2 linked regions of the Danio rerio genome follow. The protein of the gene in region 2 interacts with the protein of the main gene of each other region in a biochemical or structural test. Links are inferred from orthologs where the notes say so. Each region holds a gene or a part of one and is shown on either strand. Other genes may lie near its edges.

Region 1 (10,406 bases), on a different chromosome or scaffold from region 2:
TTTTTTATTGTACTGTATACTGTATTAGTGTTTTAAATACATATACCATGACTATATATGTCATAACTTGATAATAAATTAATATTATATCTAATGAATCTATTTTAGTTTATTATTGCAATCACAACGCTTGATTTAAATTTAGAGAAAAATGTAAATATGAATTGACCACCATCTCAAATGGCCATCGTCTCTTTCATCTCAACTCTTATCAATCACATTGTTGAAATAATGTTCACAGACCATAATCCTAATAGCTTCACGGCAGTCACATCCCTTTGCAATAGCACTAACCCACTCCCAGAAATACATTATTCATCCCATGCATATCCTCTAATGCATTTCAGAGCACCATATTGTTATGATAAAGCCAATTTTTTGAATAAGTGCCACTGCTTGTGTACGTTGATGAGGCGGCTTGTTGACACTTCTATGCTGGATCTGCTACAGATTCCAAGAAGGTGTCAAAGCTGTTTTCTCTGTGCCTTATAAAACTAAATAATGGGCATTTGAAATAGGATTCTCTTAAAAAGATTTTGCAGACTTTGCAGAGAACTAGATTATGGGACAAAAAGGTGCAGTCCGTTTAAAAAAAAAAGATGCTGTCATCATTTACTCAAATGATGTGTCATGAATTGACAGTTTTGTTTAACCAAAAATATATGGAATGAGTTAAAGGGCACCTATTTTACCCCTTTTTCAAGATTTTAAATATGTCTTTTGTGTCTCCAGAATGTGTCTGTAAAGTTTCAGCTCAAAATACCCATCAGATGTTTTTGTTGCCTGTGCCTTTAATACAAATGAAGTGGTTCTCTCTTCCCACCGTTCCAACGTGCGTCGTAATTGATTAATGTTTATTTGTTTTCTGCCAATCAATTTAGTGTAAATTAACTAAGCCAAAAGAAAATGAATGAAAGAATGAACAACATTTAGTTTTTCAGTGAGAACATATTAGAATAACAGAAAATTTGACATTTAAGACATTGAAGGATGAGAATTTTTTTTTTCAGGGTAAAAGAGGTGCAGCAATTTAGTAAGCCATCTCTTCTTTATTTAACCTTCTCCCCATTTCTCTGAACATTTCCCAACATTGTATGTATGCAATGTACTGTACTTTCATATTTCCAGATAGTTTTTTTCCCCAGTGTATTTTGATTTGCCTAAGTTTTTGAGCTTTTTTGAATGAATATATTCAATATGAAGTTTATCTGTGCTCCAAAACAATGACAGAATTCAAATATATTACAATATATATCTAAAATATGAGTCTTACAGTCTCTCATTACCAACTGTATGAATCAACGATTCTGATGACATCACTCTCTGCATGTCAGCCTCTCATCACATTTTCTTTCAATTAAATGCTCTCTAGAATCTGAGGAATCACTCTTCAATGCTATAAATAGATGGTGAAGTTGCAGCTGAAGTACTTATTTGCAAAATTACTGATCTACATGGTAAAAAATATCCATAAATTAGTTTTCCATATTTTGTGATTAATTTTTTTTTTTTCCCCAGTATATTTATGCATTTGAATTGCATTATAAGTCCTTAATCGTTCTTTCAACAACTTTTAACCTTGAGAAGTTTTTAAAAAGTGAGTTTTGTATATTATGCTACAAAATGTTCCAGGTTACAGAAGTAACCCTTCATTTCCCGAGGAGGGGAACGGAAGTGCTATACAGTGGATTTGATCTTAGGAAAATCCGCGTATGGGAGGTTTCGGTTCAGAAGCCGCTTGTCTGAAAGAGTATTGAACGGGGCAATGAATGCAATGAATTGGCAGAGTAAGCTTGCACAGGTGTGCTTCATTGCCAATTATCCCAGCATATAAGCACACCTGGAGCGAGCAAACGCCATCCTTTTAAGCTGAAGAGACTTTCAAACAGCTAAGGGACAGTCATTATGGCGACGGAGTATAGCACTTCCGTTCCCCGTCTCAGGGAACGAAGGCTTACTTCTGTAACCTCGAACATTCCCCTTCGATTGGGGAACTTCAGTGCTATACAGTGGATTTGATCTTGGGAAAATCCACGTATGGGAGAACTATGGAAAGCGCCATAATGACTGCACCTTACCAACACCCCCGATGAGGGGATAGTCAAGCACCCACATCATGGGAGGCGCGGTCCTCCAACGTGTCCCTGGCCCTAATTTATCCTACTTCAACAGAAGTCTTACGGATTTAGATATATTTTTTTGGGAAGTCGTGAGCATCTAGATAATTCTATTCGAAATACGACAGTACGTTGGGAAGCGTGCAATCCCAATAGGGAGGACGCTGCGAAGGCCATCCGCTACCCAAGGGGGAATAGATGGCAGAATTTACATATGGACTAGCCCTAAGAAGGGGGAGTACGCATAGAAAAAAGTGGTTAGCGAGGAGGGAAGACACGGGTCCACCCGGGGGGGGACTTAACCGTGGCGGAATAAGCATGGATGGGATCGCCTAGTGGGGATCACGCATAGCAGACACCTATACCCAAAACGCGGGCTGACCAGCGGGCAGACCTCCAACGTAAAGGGCCAGCAGGTGACTCCTCCGCTGAGTCAGTGCTGGGGGCCACGGAGGAATCTGCAGGGCTCACCTGACGGGGAACTTTACTGACAAATAAAAAGGCGCACGTACCTCCGTGTTAGAGAGAATGCCGCAGCAAGCGTGTTTCAACACCCTACCGAGTTGTTTCCTCAATCACCAAAGGGTTACCTAATACCCTTGAGAAAACCGGCTCCACTCGCAGATTGTAAAACCTTGCAAATGTGTTGGGTGTAGCCCAGCCCGCAGCTCTACAGATGTCTGTTAAAGAGGCGGCGCATGCGCGCGCCCGAGAGGATGCGAAGATCCGAGGGGAGTGCGCACGCAGTCTCGGGGGATGCGGCTCACCTCGGCTCTGATAAGCGAGAGAATGGCATCCACAATCCAGTGGGAAAACTTAATTTCAATACGGCACTTCCCTGCTGCCGACCGCCATAACAGACGAAGAGCTGCTCAGATGATCTAAACTCTGAGTGCAGTCCGGATAATACGCAAGACGCAAACTGGACAATGAAGAAAGGGCTGGGTCTGCCTCCTCCGGGGGCAGCGCTTGCATGCTCACTACCTGGTATTAAAACGGAGTGGTAGGAACCTTGGGCACATATCGCGGGCGGGGTCTCAGGACGTGAGAGAAAGCCAGCCCAATTACAGGCACAAGTCACTGACTGAAAAAATGCCTCCGGGTCCCCGACCCTCTAATCGATATCAACGCGACCAGCAGAGCTGTCTTCAGGGACAGAAAGATACTGAGTCGAGGATCGAAGGGATCTGACGCGGCTCGTGTAATGAGGGCGAGATCCTAAGAGGGCATGGGAGGGGGCGGGGAGGATTAGTTCGCCTATCGCCCCTAAGGAACCGGATGATGAGGTTATGCATTCCCACGGTGGTGCCAGCCACCGCGTCATGAGAGCGGAGATGGCAGCCATGTAACCTTGAGTGTGGAGGGCGACAGCCTGCTCTCCAGCTTCTCTCGGCGTAAAGAAAGCACAACGCTGATCTGGCAAATTATGGGGATCTTTTCTGCGAGAGACACACCATTCAGTGAATAGACTCCACTTCAGGGCATAGGCGCGCTCGGGAAGGGGGCTCTAGCCAGAGTGACGGTAATAGCCACCGCAGTCGGAGGTTACCTAAGTCTTCCTCGCGTCTAAGGACCTCTAAAGATTGTCGAGGGTGCCAGATGGTGCCCTGTCCCTGAGAGAGTAGGTGCTCTCTCGAAGGGAACTGCCAGGGGAGGGCTATCGCGAGGAGGGAGAGCTCTGACATCCAGGTCCGGTTGAGCCAGAGGGGCGCAACCAGCAACCTGTTCCTCGTCCTCCCTGACCTTGCACAGTAACTGCGCGAGCAGGCTCACTGGGGGAAACGCGTATTTGCGCATGCCCCGAGGCCAGCTGTTAGCCAGTGCATCTGTGCCGAGAGCACTCGGTCAGGGAAAAGAACAACTGGCAATGAGCGATCTCGGGGGAAGCAACCGATTGATCTAGGCTTCCCCGAATCGCGCCCATATCAGCTGAACAGACTCGGGGTGGAGTCTCCATTCTCCAGGACGTAAGGCTGCCGTAAAAAAGCGCATCGGCTGCACGGTTGAGCTTGCCTGAATATGAATGGCGTGCAGAGATTTCAGCCGCGGATGACTCCTGAGGAGCAGACGGCGGGCGAGCTGAGACATGCGGCGAGAGCGCGTGCCCCCTATATGGTTGATATATGCCGCCGCCGCCGTACTGTCCGTCCTGACCAGCAAGTGTTGCCGCTCTAGCACCGGAAAAAAACGGTGGAGAGCGAGGAACACTGCCAACAGCTCCAGGCGATATGGCAATGCAACTGGGTACCTTTCCAGATCCGCAGCCGCATGCCCGCAACGCACAGCCCCCCAGCCCGTGTTGGAAGCGTCTGTTGAAACGACAACAAGACTGGACGCCTGTCCTAGAGGCACTCAGGCCTGTAGGAACGAGGGGTCGCTCCAAGGGCTGAGGGCGCGGCGACACAGCGCAGTAACAGAGACTCGGTGTGCGCGCGCGTGCCATGTGCATCTGGGGACTCGATCGTGAAGCCAGTGCTGATGTGGTCTCATATAGAGTAATCAGAGCAGCCTGAAGCGGCTGCGGATGCCATATGCCCCAGGAGCCTCTGAAATAGTTTCAGTGGGACCACTATTTTACTGTCGAGCTCTCTCAGACAGTACAGCATCAGCAGTCCAGCTCCAGCCCGAGAGAAGAGATCCTATGCACGGGGGCGAGTTTGCTCTTTTCTCGGTTGACCTAAAACCCCAACAGGTGGAAGTGCCGGAGCACTTTGTCTCTGTGCATAATCAATTGCTCCGAGAGAAGGCAAAAATCAGCCAGTCATTAAGAAAACTGAGTATGCGGATGCCCGTAAGCCGAAGGGGCGCTAAGGCACCCTCCGCTGGCTTGGTGAGGACCCGCGGAGACAGAGAGAGCCTGAAGGGGAGGGCTTTGTATTGCCACGCTCGACCTTCAAACCGCAGAAACTGACGGTGGCGAGGAAGAGTGGAGACATGGAAATACGCGTCCATCAGGTCTAATGCTGCAGACCAACCCAGAGGATGAACGCACCGGAGGATGCACTTCTGCGTGAGCATTCTGAACGGCAGCTTGTGCAGACAGCGGTTCAAAACGTGCAGATCTAGGATTGGCCGTGACTCACCGCTCTTTTGGGCACGATGAAGTGTGGGCTGTAAAACCCGCTCTCCATCTCGGCTGGAGGGAGCGGCTCGATTGCATCCTTCGCCAGGAGGACAGCAATCTCCTCTCACAAGACAGGGGCGGACAGGGGGCTGACCCTGGTGAATACACACCCGTGACTTGGGGGGCTATTGCATAGCCGACAACTCAGCAGGACAACAGCCTTCCAGGACTGAGTTTGGACACCCCTGTTCTAAATGAAGAAATGCAGACCTATACCTACAAAATAATGTAAATCCAGGCAAACTGCAAATTTTTCAGTGGTCTGTTCAGTTTTTTTGATAATGTTGACGGTGTTGATAATGTAAACATAGCTAGCTAGACTTCTACACTACACCGCAGCTCTGTACTTGCAGTATCATTATGTGCTGCTGCCTAAAAACAAGACTCACTTTTGGTCACTGTCATGACAACAGTTTTTGATTCTGAAATTTTTCCTTCTGGAAATAAGTTTGGTATTATCCAAAAGTTTGAGCATCTACAAAAAATTCCTAAAATTGAAATCCGTTGTCTACTCTGTGATGTTAGCAGCTGTTGTGTGGAACAGATAAGGTAACATGTGCTCTTTTCTCTTCTGTCCTAATGTGGCCATGCAGGAGAAAGCACAAACATTTCCACTCGGTCGCCTGAAATTATTTACCGTGGCAATAACATGACAGATTGAATCCTTTTCTTGGCCCGTAAATCAGCCATTGTCTAAGCTTCAAGTAATTATTTTCTCCTCTCTCTGGGCCATGCTCGCTTTCCAATCTTGTTTAGCCATTTTTTTTTTTCAACATAGTCCAGAGTTATTGCCTTTAATATATCTGGCCAACCGAAGATCTTGACAGTTCACCACAGCACTGGCACTAAAGAATGAGAAGCAAAATGTGCCACAGCTTACAGAAACACACAACTCCTCTCTTTGTTTTTCACACTTCTGTCTCACCTGCTTGCTTTACGACCAGCTTCAGCTTCTCCATTGCCGGATCTTGTGGTTGCAACTGTCCATTATGTCTCAGGCTGTGTGCGAGGATGAGGATGTTTTATTTTAGAGTTTAGGAAGATAATGCTGTGCTTGTGTTTTGCAGATGTGAATGAGTGTGTGACGAACACACACACCTGTCGGGCAGACGAGCGCTGCGTGAACTCAGTTGGAGGATTTGTGTGCGAAAGGATGATCTTGTGTTCGAGTGGTTACCAGCTGAGAAATGGAGTATGTGAAGGTGAGTTGGGGATACAGTATTAATAAATGCACACATGTACACTTACCGGCCACTTTATTAGGTTCACCTTACTAGTACCAGGTTGGATCCTTTTTTGCCTTCAGAACTGCCTTAATCCTTCATGGCATAGATTCAACAAGGTACTGGAAATATTCCTCAGAGAAGTATTTTTTATTAAGCAAGTTTAGAACCCAAATGTACTGTAGGGCTTATTTTACAGTGCCATTTCATATTTAGCTCTTATGTATATTTGATTATATAAAAAAAACTTTTTTAAAAATTACACAATTAGGCTTTAATTTTACTAAAAGTGCACACAGAGCATTTTCTGTTAATTGAAAAATGCTAAATGTTATGTTTACATGAACTTTGCTTTTATGTGGGATCAAATCATCAAAAGAAATGGCAGCACTCCAACTATCCCCAACTATCAGAGCTGTTCGCCGATGCATATGGACAGAATCAATAACAAACTGTCCTCCATGTTGGTCAGAGTCCTCTATCTCACACTGCTCTATGGCTCTGAGAATGGTGAGTACATCATCTGCATCTGCTGCAGAGAAGAACCAGAAAACATACAGTAAAATGCAGATTTTGCAAGCTTTCGCAGTTCGAAAGAGGCCACAGCTGATCGCCTCGGGCTTTCGCTTGCTAACATCTAAAGCATCCCGCACTCTGTTTTTACACAAAGCAGATGCCTACATACATCTAACCGTTGCCTTTGAACAGAGAAAAACTTTGCAAGAGTCTCTGATTCTTGTCAGGACTTGGCCTGGTGCATGATAATAAGTTGAAGAGATAATTATTGTAATAAGTGACGGAATGGGAATAGTGGATTTTAAGTAATTGCAGGCTTTGGGCCATTGAAAATTCATGCTCTGTTGCTGCATTGCATCTGTAGGATTTGGAAAGACTTGCGCTGCCCTCGATTAAAGATTTTCCTGGTCGACTAGTAATCGTTCATATTAAGCAATTAGTTGACAAATCAAACATGTGAAGCCGTTTAAATCATAATATTGAGCCTTTACACAGCCTAATAATTGATCTATCATCCACATTTACCAAGTCACAGCACACCGGCAGACGTAAAAATTGTGTATGAAGGCTACATTCACATATTAGGGGAGAGTATGGTACAAAGTAATGTGAGGAAAAATGTGACATGGAGTTTTAAGGTGTTTGCTCAGGGTTAACCATGGCAAACTTCCGAGGATTTCAACACAATGTCAGCAGATGTTCTCATGCCAGTTACTGAAAAACATAGCAGAATTTTTTTTCAGCATAAAATAATTTTTATTATACTCTTATTTTTTTTATATATATATATAAAAAAAAATCTGTGATTTTGAAAATATGTAAGTAAAATTTTATATTGTTTTGGTTACTGTCTTTAGGGCTAAAAGACACACTGTTGGACATTGGAATTTTGAGTGTAACATTGTAAACTTTTTATGTTAAAAAATGTATTTTAATAGAAAGTATTTTTTCATTGCTAATAATGCAAATAAATTCATTGTAATAATGGATAATAATGCAAATAAACCCAAAATGTGTTTATAGAAATAGATAAATAAATAAATAAATAAATACACATGCTGTGCTGTGTAGAATAAAGAGTTAAATACTGAGGAAATGTACTATCTAACGTAAACTGAATTTAAATTAATTGTGTAAAATCTGACTTTATAACTACGTGTTACAACTAACCCTCTGTCTGTTACAACTTGCCCGCAGGTGGGGTAAATAGTAACATTTTTACTCCTGGCACTTTGGCCAATACTGCACAGGAACCATAGGTCCAGCGATCATACAGCCAGTGCTCATTTGTAGGAAAGGCTTGTGTGTTGTTGGTAAAAAAAAAAAATGGTTTGTCTAATCTGATTACTTCTTTGGTCATAACCAAAAAGTGTTACTTTGTGCTCCGTTCTCCCCTAATAATATATTGATCAACAAGTGCTGAAACGTGCCGGAGTGCGATTGCCCCCCTCCCCTATCCCCCGCCCCCTCGGTCTGCCCCCAGATTGCATTTTTTACCTACCAAACCTGAGCACGCTATCGTCACTGATGATGCGAATATTCAGTTTAACTGAAAGAGAAGCTCTTTCGCTCAGCACGGTGGAGATTGCTTGGCTAAAGCGTTTTAGTCTGTTGGGATTTAGTGACACAGTGAAATATTTTTATTCACAACTTTTGACGTTCATAAATGATCATAAAAGAACTCGTGCTGTAGGTATTAGGAGGTTTGCTGAAGGTGCAGCTGACATGCAGTGAGGGGTTTGCGTCTTTATTTAAAAAGTTTGTGTTCATTGAATAGTAAGATGAAATGGGTCATGTATGGGAAAGGGATGTATGGGGTCGCCACAGCGGAATGAACCGCCAACTGATCCCGCATATGTTTTACTCAGCAGATGCCCTTCCAACCGTAACCCAACACTGGGAACCACCCATGCACACTCATTCACACACTTACACTATGGCCAATTTAGCTTATTAAATTCCCCTATACCGCGTGTCTTTAGACTGTGGGGGAAACCGGAGCACCCGTAGGAAACCCTTGGAACACGGGGAGAACATGCAAACTCAACAAAGAAAAGCCAACCGACGCAGCCGGGCTCAATTCACACACATTCTTGATTCCTAATTAAGTCACTGATATTATTCTTATGGTTTGTCAAATTTCAAAAATTAGAGTTCTTGTTACAGGATTAAAACCTGACTGATTTATCTAAACAGTTTGTAGCTTTTCAGTGCCGCTTATATCCATGTAAAAACACTTGCATGTGTCAGTATCATTAACAGGCAGCTTGTGAAATGCAAAGTCAAAAAATTTGTTTTTGTTTTGTTTTTTTCTATGATACCATGCATGAGGATGACTATGGAGGTACTGGGGGCTTGATCAGCTGTCTTAAAGTGTCTTGAAGCTGTTATTGAGCCACACTGCCACCTACTGTGAGGTTTTAACTTGTAATTGAGGATGGTTGTGATCTCTGTCCAAACCCATCTCCTCAATCAAAGCCCTCAGATGGGGCTCGGCTATTCATTATGCTGACATGCTTGCCAAATTTGGTGAGATTTACAGATTTTCCTGAAGGCCTTAAGAGGGGAAACCTAATTTGTTTGGACCTATAACAGCATCAGTCTCAAAAGCTAAACAAATCTCTCAGTGCAGGAACCCGACTGGATGGCGTCTGGCTGTCCGCTCCAGTGACCCATTTTGACATCTGCTGTGCTCTTTCTCTTCTAGACATCGACGAGTGTGTTATACGAACTCATAACTGTGGGATGGGCTTCCAGTGTCAGAATACTGATGGTTCATTCACGTGTAAGCCGAAACAACGCTGTCTCACAGGCTTCACTCAGGACTCACATGGCAACTGCATTGGTGAGAAAGACCTTTAGAATCACTTAGTGCCCCCTAGTGGACAGATGCGTATTGTCATGTAGTCAAATCAATTTTGCTTGAAAATACTCTTTATAAAATATTTATTTCTAAAAGTACTGACTCTAAAATAGTGCACCTGTCGTGCTTTTTTGAAGTATTACCTTTCATGCTGTGTTTAATATAGCTGTTTGTGAATGTAAAATGCCTGAAAGGTTTTAAAGATCAAATGCATGGTGGATAGAGTTGTTGCCTGCCAAAAAAAATATATAAACTGCCTGATCTGGGTTATAGTTTTAAACAAATTTACATTGTCAGTGTATGTTCTTCTTTGGCTGCATGCAAACAGCATGGTCTTTGACGTCAATAGGTTTGACTTGTAGCCAGATCGATTTTGCTTAAGGCATTGTTGCCATTTTTTGCTTGATTTGCATTGATTTTGCCGATTTTTCTCACTTTCTCTTAGACATTGATGAATGCAGCAGTGTGAGAGAACCATGTACGACTGGCTTCAACTGCATAAATACTGTGGGCTCCTATACCTGTCAGCGCAAGATCATCATGTGCAGTCGAGGTTACCATTC
Region 2 (10,406 bases):
CAGCTATTGGTATCAATAATAGGAACAAAATATACTATAGAAGTCAATTGCGTTTTTTTTTCTATCCTTCTTCAATATGTCTTGATTTGTAGTCAACAAAAGAAAAAAAATTGCCCATTGAGCAAACTTACAGTAGTGTTTACAAGCACCAAAAAGACCACAAAGTTTGATACATTATACATTTAACATTGCACAGAAACTTTATATAATTTGGCATCAACAGTCTGAATGTGTAGTACAATATTATAGAATATAGTATTATAGTATATCAATAGTATAATATAACCTCTAAAATTATAGTATATAGTATAATCTGACAAAGCTTTACAGGGTTACGTGGCCCTGGAAGTCACCAAAACATTTAACTAAAGGATAGTACATTTATAGGACTTTGCTTTTGAAGAAAACCACGTGCACACAATACTGTATGTTGTCATTCTCTTGTTTATCTAGAAATTACCTAATGATAACACTTTTTTTTAAACATCTACGTCTACCTGCTCTTTTTTTTTTAAGTGTAACACAGCCGTTTAAAAAAATACAAATTGCATTGCCTCACAGTTTTTATATGATGTAACAAAGCAGCAAATATTTGGAAAATTTGCTTAAAGTGATCACATACTAAAAAGTAAAGTCCTAAGTAAGCATTTTAAAGGAACGCTCCACTTTTTTTTGGAAATAGGCACATTTGTTTGCTATTTTCTTTCAATATAGCTGCATAATATTATTCCACCTCCTTGATTACAGATACTTTAGAATGAGCGGTAAATTCTTAGCCTTATCGATCTAGAAAACTAACATTTTTATATCATTCTTATTAAGCAATGTAATTACAGAAAAGTCAAGCTTTAAATAGAAAACTTATTGAAGCTCCTTTTTTTTTTTTAAGCAAGATGCTAATGGTCTAATCCGATTCAATGGATTATGCTAAGCTAAGCTAAAAGTGATTTTGCCAGACCCAGAGATCAGCTGAATGGATTACAAAAATGAGTAAAACTCAATTTTTTAACTGTATGGAAATTGTAAAATGAGCCTATTTAAAAAAAAAAAAATTATGTTTCCTTTAAGAAGAGGTCTGTTTTTGTGTGCCTGTTTTTTTCGTGGTAATAAGGATCTTTGTAATAGGTTTTCCGATTAGAGTGTTTAATGAATCGTTGGTTTGCTTGTGTTTGTGTGTTTGACTCCAGGTTTTGGAGACTCGGCTGCGGATCCTGCGGGCCTCTGCTGATGACACTGGAGATTATATCTGTACAGTGGAGAACGGCCCATCTCCACAAAAGGCCACTGTGTCTGTCTCTGTGACGTCCAGCGCCTCCCGTAAGTCCCTTTAACTGATGAAAAGTGTCAACATCTGTCATACATGTTTGATCATGTTTGATGTCATACACACTCATGTTTTAGGTTTTCTTGCAATATGTCAAAATGAAAGCTGTTTTTTAAGCTCATTATTTGTGGTGCTTTGTTCGCAAATTATTGATGCAGTTTCCAGTATTTCATGGTAAAATTCTACTTTAGATGAAACTATGGCTAATAACTAAATAAAGAACTTCTTCTTCTTTAAGACGTTCCTGAAATTTAGTTTTACCTTTATGAGACCACTACAGAATAGAATGGAATAGAATAGAATATAATAGAATAGAATAGAATAGAATAGAATAGAATAGAATAGAATAGAATAGAATAGAATAGAATAGAATAGAATAAAATAGAATAGAATAGTTTCATTTGAATTGGACTAAAGTACAGTGATATTTAGTGCTTTATATAATTGATTCTGTCCATTCAAATGAAACATACAAAAAATCTAGACGAAAAGAGCAGAAAATATATAAAAAATGTAAATAGTGAAATTAAATCAACAATTATATGTTATTGTTATATTGTTGCAACAGACCATATCTTAAAGGAATAGTTCACCCCAAAAAATACATATATATTTTCTGACTATGTCCTCTTCCTCAAGTTGTTTTAAACCTTTATGTGATTCTTTTTTTCTCATGAACACAAAAGAAGATATTTTGAAGAATGTTGTAAACTGGTAACCATTGACATCCATAGTATAAAAAATGTCACGGTCCGGTAGTACTCTATGTCATTGGTCACTGGTTTCATTCATTCTTTCATTTATTTTCCTTCGGCTTAGTCCCTTTATTCATCAGTGGTCGCCACAGCGGAATGAACCGCCAACTTACCCAGCATATGTTTTACACAGTGGATGCCCTTAAAGCTGCAACCCAGTACTGGGAAACACCCATTTACTCTGATTCACTCACACTACGGCCAATTTAGTTTACCTGATTCACCTATAGCACATGTCTTTGGACTGTGGGGGAAACCGGAGCACCAGTAGGAAACCCACGCAAACACAGGGAGAACATGCAAACTTCACACAGAAATGGCAATTGACCCAGCTGGTACTCGAAACCGCACCCTAATTGCTGTGAGGCAACAGGGCTAATTACTGAGCCACCATGTCACCCTCATAACTTTTGTGTTTAACAGAAGAAAGAAACTCAAACAGGTTTGTAACAAATGAAGGGTGAGTAAACGAATGCAGTATTTTCCAGTTTAGATGAACTATTCCTTTAAAATGTGCTACAATTTGAAGCAAAACACTTAACTAACATTTGTTTACAACATACACATTGTCAGCATAGTCAGTGTGTGCTCAGTGTATTTTGTGGTTTGATTTTGGAGTAGGCCTCCAGACTCCCATTATCTCCATTGAGCCGCATAGTGCAGTGGTGAAGCAGGGCGAATCGGCGAGCTTCAGGTGCAAGGTTCACAACGGAGCCCAGCCAGTGCGACTGGAGTGGAAACTCACCAATAACCTGCCTCTGCCAGGTACTGTACACAATTTTGTTCTGTTGCCCTCTGGAAGAAGGTTTAGAAGGGCTCGAGTGTCCACTTACGTGGAAAGCACATTTTAGCTCTTTAGTGCAAGCCTCGCGTTTTAACCGGCTGCTGCACCTCGCATTTTTAATATATAATATATAATATATAAAAAAATCATAATATATAAAAAAATCTGCTTTTTGTTAATGTGACATGTTTCTGTCCGATATTACAAGATCCATGCATACTGCCACTATAAATAAAAGTTGTGTTTTGAAGGATTTGACATGTGGCCCTTTACTTGGTTTGCAAAACTTGATGCGGCCCTCGGGTCTGAAAGGTTTGCCCACCACTGTGTTAGAACATGTCAAAATCTCCATATGTGATATGTCCTTATGAACTTCTCTTCTTTAGATAATGTAAAGGTGGGTCCTGACAGTTCAATCATGACTGTTACAAATGCCCAGGCGAAAAACCAAGGCACCTACCGCTGTGTGGCCAGCAACTTGTACGGAATGACTCATAGCATCGTGTCACTCATTGTGAGAGGTAGAGCAACATTAAATGCGACATTTTTTGAAAAACTGGTTTTGTGAATTGTATTATTGCCTTCACACTTAGCACATACTATTTCTGCTTGAGATTTTCCTTACATTTATTATCATTGTTCAGGCATAATGCTCATTTCTCTCTCTTTTTTTTTCTTATTTCATTGGTAGAATCTCCTAAGGCTGTGGTGACCCCTGCAGGACCAGTGCGAGTCAGGGTCGGTGATCCCATTAATCTTGAATGCCAGGCCGCTGGAGAGCCAAGACCCTCAGTCAGATGGCACAGACTGGACAACAATCGCAAGACAATGCTGAGCAGCACCGTGCCTGTTGACTCCAGTGCTATCATACAGGTTATGAATCATTTGTTGTATTGATGATGTTGATTTCCTGATTGTTTGGCCTTTATGTTCATCAGAAAGGTTTTATACTTTGTTTACAGTGAAGAGAAAAATTAGAGAGCAGTTCAAAACACCTTTTTTGTTTGTTTTTTTATTATGTGATCATCCTGGTTAAAAAAAATTAAGTATTGCTAGTAAATAGTCAATAAATAGTAAACAAATTGTAAAATAGTAGTATTGCTAGAACAGTATTTGCTAGAAAAACGCCATTTTATTAAATAACCAAGGTACTTTAGCAAATATCCTTCATTTGTGGACAAAACATGAACAGAATTAAAGGGGTAGTTCACCCAAAAAGGGAAATTCTGTCATAATTTTTTCACTCTTTTTTGTTTCAAACTGATTTTCTTTCACAAAAGCAAATATTTTGAATAAAGCTCGAAACCTGTAACTATTGATTTGCATAATATTTGTTTTTCTTACTATGGAAGTAAGTGGTTACAGCTTTCCAGCTTTGCTCAAAACATCTTCTTTTGGGTTCAACAGAAGAAAGAAACTCAAAGGTTTGGAACAACAGGGTTAGTAAATGATGTGTAAGTAAAAAAAATTTGGGTAAACTATCCTTTAAAGCCATCGTCATTTTTTGCCCCATTGACTTTTAAAACTTCTGTTTCGTACGTCGTCACTGTTTTGCAAACTAAATTCCTGAAATTGAATGCTTGCTTTGAATGATGTCAGCTAGTCACTCTCATCCTGCTATCACTGACTGAAGTTGCTTTCTTAGTCATAACATTGTCATCAAGGAATTTCCAGACATTTTAACAAGGTTTAGATCAGGACTTTGGGCTCCCATTTTATTATTTCATTGTTTTCATCTCCTTCATCTATGTTGTAATGGCACTCATTGACCTGCATAAGCATTGCTGACTGATTAGGCTTTATATGCAAGAAAAGTAACCTTTTTGAATCTGTTTCTCAAACAGCAGGATACTGTATGCTGAGATCAGACCTTCAGTGCTGAATTGGCGTTTATGTATAATGATACAGCCACTGAAAGGGATTTAAAAGTGTTTTTTATGACCATCCTTTTTTCAAATTTCTTACTGTGCTTCATAATATTTGTAACTAATGAAGTGTGTAAAAAACTGCTCTTTTATTAGTAAAGGATCATTTTAAATAGGACTAAGTAGTTACCTCAGCATTGAAAAAACTGACTGTTCTGTAATTATGATCTCCACTGTAGGTGTTGGTTGCTCGACCGGAGGATAGTGGCACATATGTGTGCTCAGCGCAGAATAACCAGGGCACAACTGAGACTCGAGTGGAGGTGTTTGTAGAAGGAGGCCCTCAGGTGCCAACTGTTCCCCGTGCCAGTGTCCGTGAACCCATGATAATAGTGGTAGAGGGATCAACTGCCACACTGCATTGTGATGCCCATGGTAGGTGCTACTGTAAGCCCTTGGTTAAAGGGATAGCTCATCCAAAAATGAACATTCTGTCAGTTTTTACTCATCCTCTACTTGTTTCAAACCTGTTTGAGTTTCTTTCATCCATTGAGAACACAAAAATGCTGGAAAAAACATACCTCCATAGTATTTTTTTCCTATCATGTATGTCAGTGGCTGCTATTTTCCAACATTTTTCAAACTGTCTTAATTTGTGTACAACAGAAGAAAGAAATTCATACATTTTTAGAACCAAATGAGTGTAAATAAATGGTGAGGCAATTTAAATTTTTGAGTGAACTATCCATTTAAAAGTACCAGTAATAAACCTTAGTCTAATTTTAAAGCGTGTTCTAAAGCTCTTATATATTAACTACAGGATTCCCAAAACCCACCATCACATGGTTTAAAGAACGCTCGTCTCTTCCTTGGAGACACAAGATTGTGGACAACAGCCTGATCTTGCCTAATGTAGGCCGTCAGGACTCTGGTCAGTACGTCTGCAATGCCACTAACCATCTGGGCACCAGTGAAGTCACCATTATGCTGGAAGTAGACAGTGAGTACTTTGAAATTATTTGCTAGAAAAAAAATGTCTTTAAACTAATTAAATGTATACACAATTATCTTTTTGTGACATATTTGTACATTAGTTAACACAAACTTCCAGAAATGAATTTCGTTATTTCAGAAATGTAAGAATTTTGATTAGACTACAAACTATTACTATAAATCTAAAAAGTGAGATTTATTTGGCATAATTTACTTGTCTTCCTGGTATAGTACCATTTTTGAGTTTAAAATTGTGGGATAACAAGGTTATGTAGTAGCGTAAAATAAGTTAAACTATTTTTTTGTAATTGAAGTATAAAACGATTAGCATAATTATAGTAAGTTGTAATAAAATGTGTTAACTCCCACCCAGAACTGAGCTCGAGCTCTGTCACTGTTGGTGTCAGAAGTGGGATAACGTTTGGTAGAAGTATTGAGAGTCTGGATAGCGAGTTTTGTGTACAAATATATCTTCTTACTTTATTGTCTTTATTTCTTGTTTTGTTGTTTGTTTATTTTTGTATATATTTTGACTATTTTTGGGAATTTTGAATTGGACACTTTGCACTATAAATAAACAAACCTTTGCACCATAGTACTATATCGGCTGAGCCTTAATTCTTATTTGTTTCTTGCTTCCCACAATTAACCATAACAACTCCTCTGTGTGACAAGTGGTGTCAGAAGAACTGGCATTAAGTGTTTAAGTGTTTTGGAGAAGATTATTATTGTGGTTTAAATGATAATTATGTTTTAAGTGTTACGAGAGTGGTACAGTAGGTCACAAAAAGGGTGGGAGTTTGGCCTATCAAAGCAGTGACCATACCCCAAGATATTTGTTTGTTAACCAAGTCAACGAGAACGTTCGAGCAAACCCTCTTTTATGTATATTGTGGATATATATATATATATATATATATATATATATATATATTTTTTTTTTAATATTTTTTTTTCTTTTTTTTTTTTTCTTTATTATTTATTTAGTTTTTTTTAAGCACCATTTTAAGGTCAAAATTATTAGCCCCTTTAAGCTGTTTGTTTTTTTCGATAGTCTACAGAACAAATAATGATTCTGACTTCAACTGTATATATATATATATATATATATATATATATATATATATATATATATATATATATATATATATATATATATATATATATATATATATATATATATATATATATATATATATATATAATAATCTTCACTGTAGACTGTTTAGACCTGCCAGCACTGTAAATAAAACACTGTGCTCTGGAGTGCTATTGAGTACAACGTAATTTTTGTTGCCCCCAGAGTGAGCTGAGTCGGCTCTGTTGCATTTTGCAATTATGTGTGATTATATTTTGTTTTGGTCAGATATTTTTACTTAAAAACATTTGATCAGCTGTGCAAATTTTTCCAAGTGTGGAGCATATTTTCCTGCTGTTGTAAAGCCAGCTGTAATTATCCAACATCCTCTAATTGACGTGTGTTTGGTTTGTGCAGCCCCACCTTATGCCACTTCCTTGCCTAATGACGTGTCTGTGCGCGTGGGTGAAGTAATCCGGCTGCAGTGCCTGGCCCACGGCACACCACCACTGCGATATGAATGGACTAAAATCAACGGCAGTCTGCCCTCTACTGCCCAGCTGCAGGGAGGAGATCTGCAAATCAACCTGGCCAAAGAAAACGATGCGGGCACATACAGGTGTGTGGCCAGCAATAAGGTTGGCAAGAGCGAAGCACTGGCCAAAGTCTCTGTCCGATGTAAGTATTGCTCCTTTCAGTACGTGTGAACACACCAGTCTTACAGATATAGTACCGGTCAAAGGTTTGGGATCAGTAAGATTCTTAAATGTTTTTAAAGAAAGCATATTTTGCTCTTCAAGGCTGTATTTGTTTGATCAAAATACGGTAAAAGCTGTAAAATATTATTATATTTAAAATAGTTTTCTTATCGAATGTAGTTTAAAATAATATTTATTCCTGTGCTTTATGCTGAATTTTCAGTGTCTTTGATGTCACATGATGCTTCAAAAATCATTCTAATAAGATTATTTGCTGCTTTATTATGATCAAAACAATCAATAATAATGATCTCAAATCTGTAAAATTGCGAAATATCATTGCAGTTTAAAATAGTTTTTTTTTTCCTAAATGTAGTTTTGAATATTATTTATTCCTGTGCTTTATCTAAAGCTGCATTTTCAAGGTCTTTGTTGTCTTTGGTTGAAAAACATGTAATGTTGGTAAATTTGACAATTTAGGATTCTTAGATGAAGAGAAAGTTCAAGATAACAGCATTAACATTTAAAATGTTTTTAATTTACTCACGATTGAACCAGTTAATGTGTCCTTCATGGATGCAAGTACATACAGTTGAAGTCAGAATTATTAACCCCCCCCCAAATAATTAGGCCCCATTTATTTCCCCCCCAATTTCTGTTTAATGGAGAGAAGGTTTCTTCAACACATTTCTAAACAAAATAATTTTAACAACTCATTTAATAACTAAATTTCTTTTATCTTTGCCATGATGACAGTAAATCATATTTGACTAAATATTTTCAAGACACTTCTATACAGCTAAAAAGTGACATTTAAAGGCTTAACCAGGTTAGTTAGGTTAACTAGGCAGGTTAGGCTAATTAGGCAAGTTTTTGTATAACGATGGTTTAATATAGCTTAAAGGGACTTATAATTTTGTCCTTAAAATTGTTTTAAAAAATTAAAAACTGCTTTTATTCTAGCCAAAATAAAGCAAATAAGACTTTCTCCACAAGAAAAAATATTAACAGACATACTGTGAAAATTTCCTTGCTCTGTTAAACATCATTTGGGAAATATTCAAAAAAGAAAATAAAGTTCAAAGGGGGGCTAATAATTTTGATTTTAACTGTATATTTAGAATGGGAGTTTTTATGTATTAACATTGATACTAATAATATTCATGTAGTATTAATAAATATTTCTTGAGCAGCAGATCATCATATTATAATTATTTCTAAAAAGTCATGTGACAATTGACAAGAGTACTGAGAATTGATGCTGAAAATTTAACATTAAATCACAAATTAAACCTGAAACTGCGTTCAATAATACAGTGGTTTTAAATTGTAATAATATTTGACAGTATTTGATTGTTTTTTACTGTATTTTTGATAAACCAAATCCAGCCTTTCTAACTAGAATAGAACAAAAAAGTCTTGCTGATTCTAGATGTTGGGCTGGTTATAGACTTTTTCACTTTTCCTCATCTTGAGCTCTGTCCTGTCTTTTCTGCAGCTTCTCTGTCAGTGAAAGTGTCTCCTCAGGTGGAGGTGAAGGCTCTGGGCAGTGCTGTTGAGTTCACCTGCGCTGCTAAAGGAGGGCTACAGATTGAGTGGCTGAAGGAGGGAGGAGTCCTGCCACCAAACCATCACATTAAAGACGGGATTCTCAGGTGACTGACTACAAAACATCAAAACTGTCAGTGTGTAATAAGATGAATTTATTTGATAAAAACTGTAAAAATGTTGTGGACGCCAATAGCCTGGTGATTAAATGTGTTGAGTTTGATTCCCTTTCCATCTGTCTCCCTCTCCACTGTCCTGTCTAATAAATGTTAAAAATCTCTTAAATATAATTATAAATAAAAAAAAGTTAAAAATATTTAAATATTAAAAAAAAAAATTTTTTTTTAATGTTTTAACCGACCCCAAACATTTGAATTGAAGTCATTAATTCACATAAATACACATTCATATTTATTTTATATTGCATTAAATATTTATTTATTGTTTAAAATGTATTTTTAGTCATTAAAGTCATTGTTTTCTTATTGATTCATTCCTTAATTAAATTCAATTCAGTGAAGGCATTATTTTACTTAAAAAAGATGCATTTTTACCCCTTCATTAAATATTTATTCATTTTTTAAAACAAATTTTGTAATGGTTGATTTTAATGCTGTTAAAATAGGGCAAGGGGCGAAGAAGTGGCGCAGTAGGTAGTGCTGTTGCCTCACAGCAACAAGGTCTAAAGGGACTAAGCCGACAAAAAAATGAATGAATAAATGAATGAATGAATGAATGAATAAAAGAGGGCAAACAGAGGAAAAATGTTAATTTTTATTCCAATTCCAAGTTTATTCCAATATCGTTATTAATTTTATTTCACAATAAAGTGTGTAGTATTTGTGTTATATAAAGCTTTGAATTATTTTCTGTGTGTTTTTAATCATGATGTTTGTTATTATTCATGCAGAATTGAGAATCTTGAGCAAAGCAATGAGGGAATCTACACCTGCAGAGTTACAAGTCAGTTTGAACATGCTCAGGACAGCGCCAAACTCCTCATTCAAGGTCCTCTATGATACCCAAAATAAAATTAGCTTCTCGAGTTACCTATCTTTAAATCCCTCTGACTTAGTCTTTTTGTTTTCATAGCTCTTCCCAAAGTGAAGATCAACGTGCGTACATCAGTGCAGACGGTGATGGTGGGAAACTCTGTGGAGTTTGAGTGTCATGCCATTGGTGACCCCGAGCCCACAGTGCGCTGGAGTAAAGTCGGAGCTCCTCTTCCTGATCATGTGGAAATAAGAGGAAACATCTTGAGGATTGATCAAGTGTTCGAGTCTGATTCAGGACAGTATCGCTGCACAGCCACTAATGACGTGGGCTCAGAGCATTCACATGTGGTGCTTAACATCCAGTGT

The links. The genes of interacting proteins can lie anywhere in the genome.
Region 1: the proteins of hspg2 (region 2) and fbln2 form a complex in vitro, tested with the Homo sapiens proteins (2 studies listed by BioGRID). The link is inferred for Danio rerio from reciprocal best matches to the Homo sapiens genes HSPG2 and FBLN2.

Annotation. Positions count from the first base shown.
Region 1 is NC_133186.1:29,445,400-29,455,805, forward strand, and holds part of fbln2 (fibulin-2), read left to right. Parts: intron 1-6,308; coding exon 6,309-6,443; intron 6,444-9,687; coding exon 9,688-9,825; intron 9,826-10,288; coding exon 10,289-10,406. UniProt on the Homo sapiens protein: Its binding to fibronectin and some other ligands is calcium dependent. May act as an adapter that mediates the interaction between FBN1 and ELN.
Region 2 is NC_133198.1:29,484,934-29,495,339, reverse strand, and holds part of hspg2 (basement membrane-specific heparan sulfate proteoglycan core protein), read left to right. Parts: intron 1-1,187; coding exon 1,188-1,317; intron 1,318-2,697; coding exon 2,698-2,844; intron 2,845-3,249; coding exon 3,250-3,384; intron 3,385-3,554; coding exon 3,555-3,736; intron 3,737-4,967; coding exon 4,968-5,163; intron 5,164-5,548; coding exon 5,549-5,728; intron 5,729-7,216; coding exon 7,217-7,477; intron 7,478-8,995; coding exon 8,996-9,152; intron 9,153-9,955; coding exon 9,956-10,053; intron 10,054-10,137; coding exon 10,138-10,404; intron 10,405-10,406. UniProt on the Homo sapiens protein: Integral component of basement membranes. Component of the glomerular basement membrane (GBM), responsible for the fixed negative electrostatic membrane charge, and which provides a barrier which is both size- and charge-selective.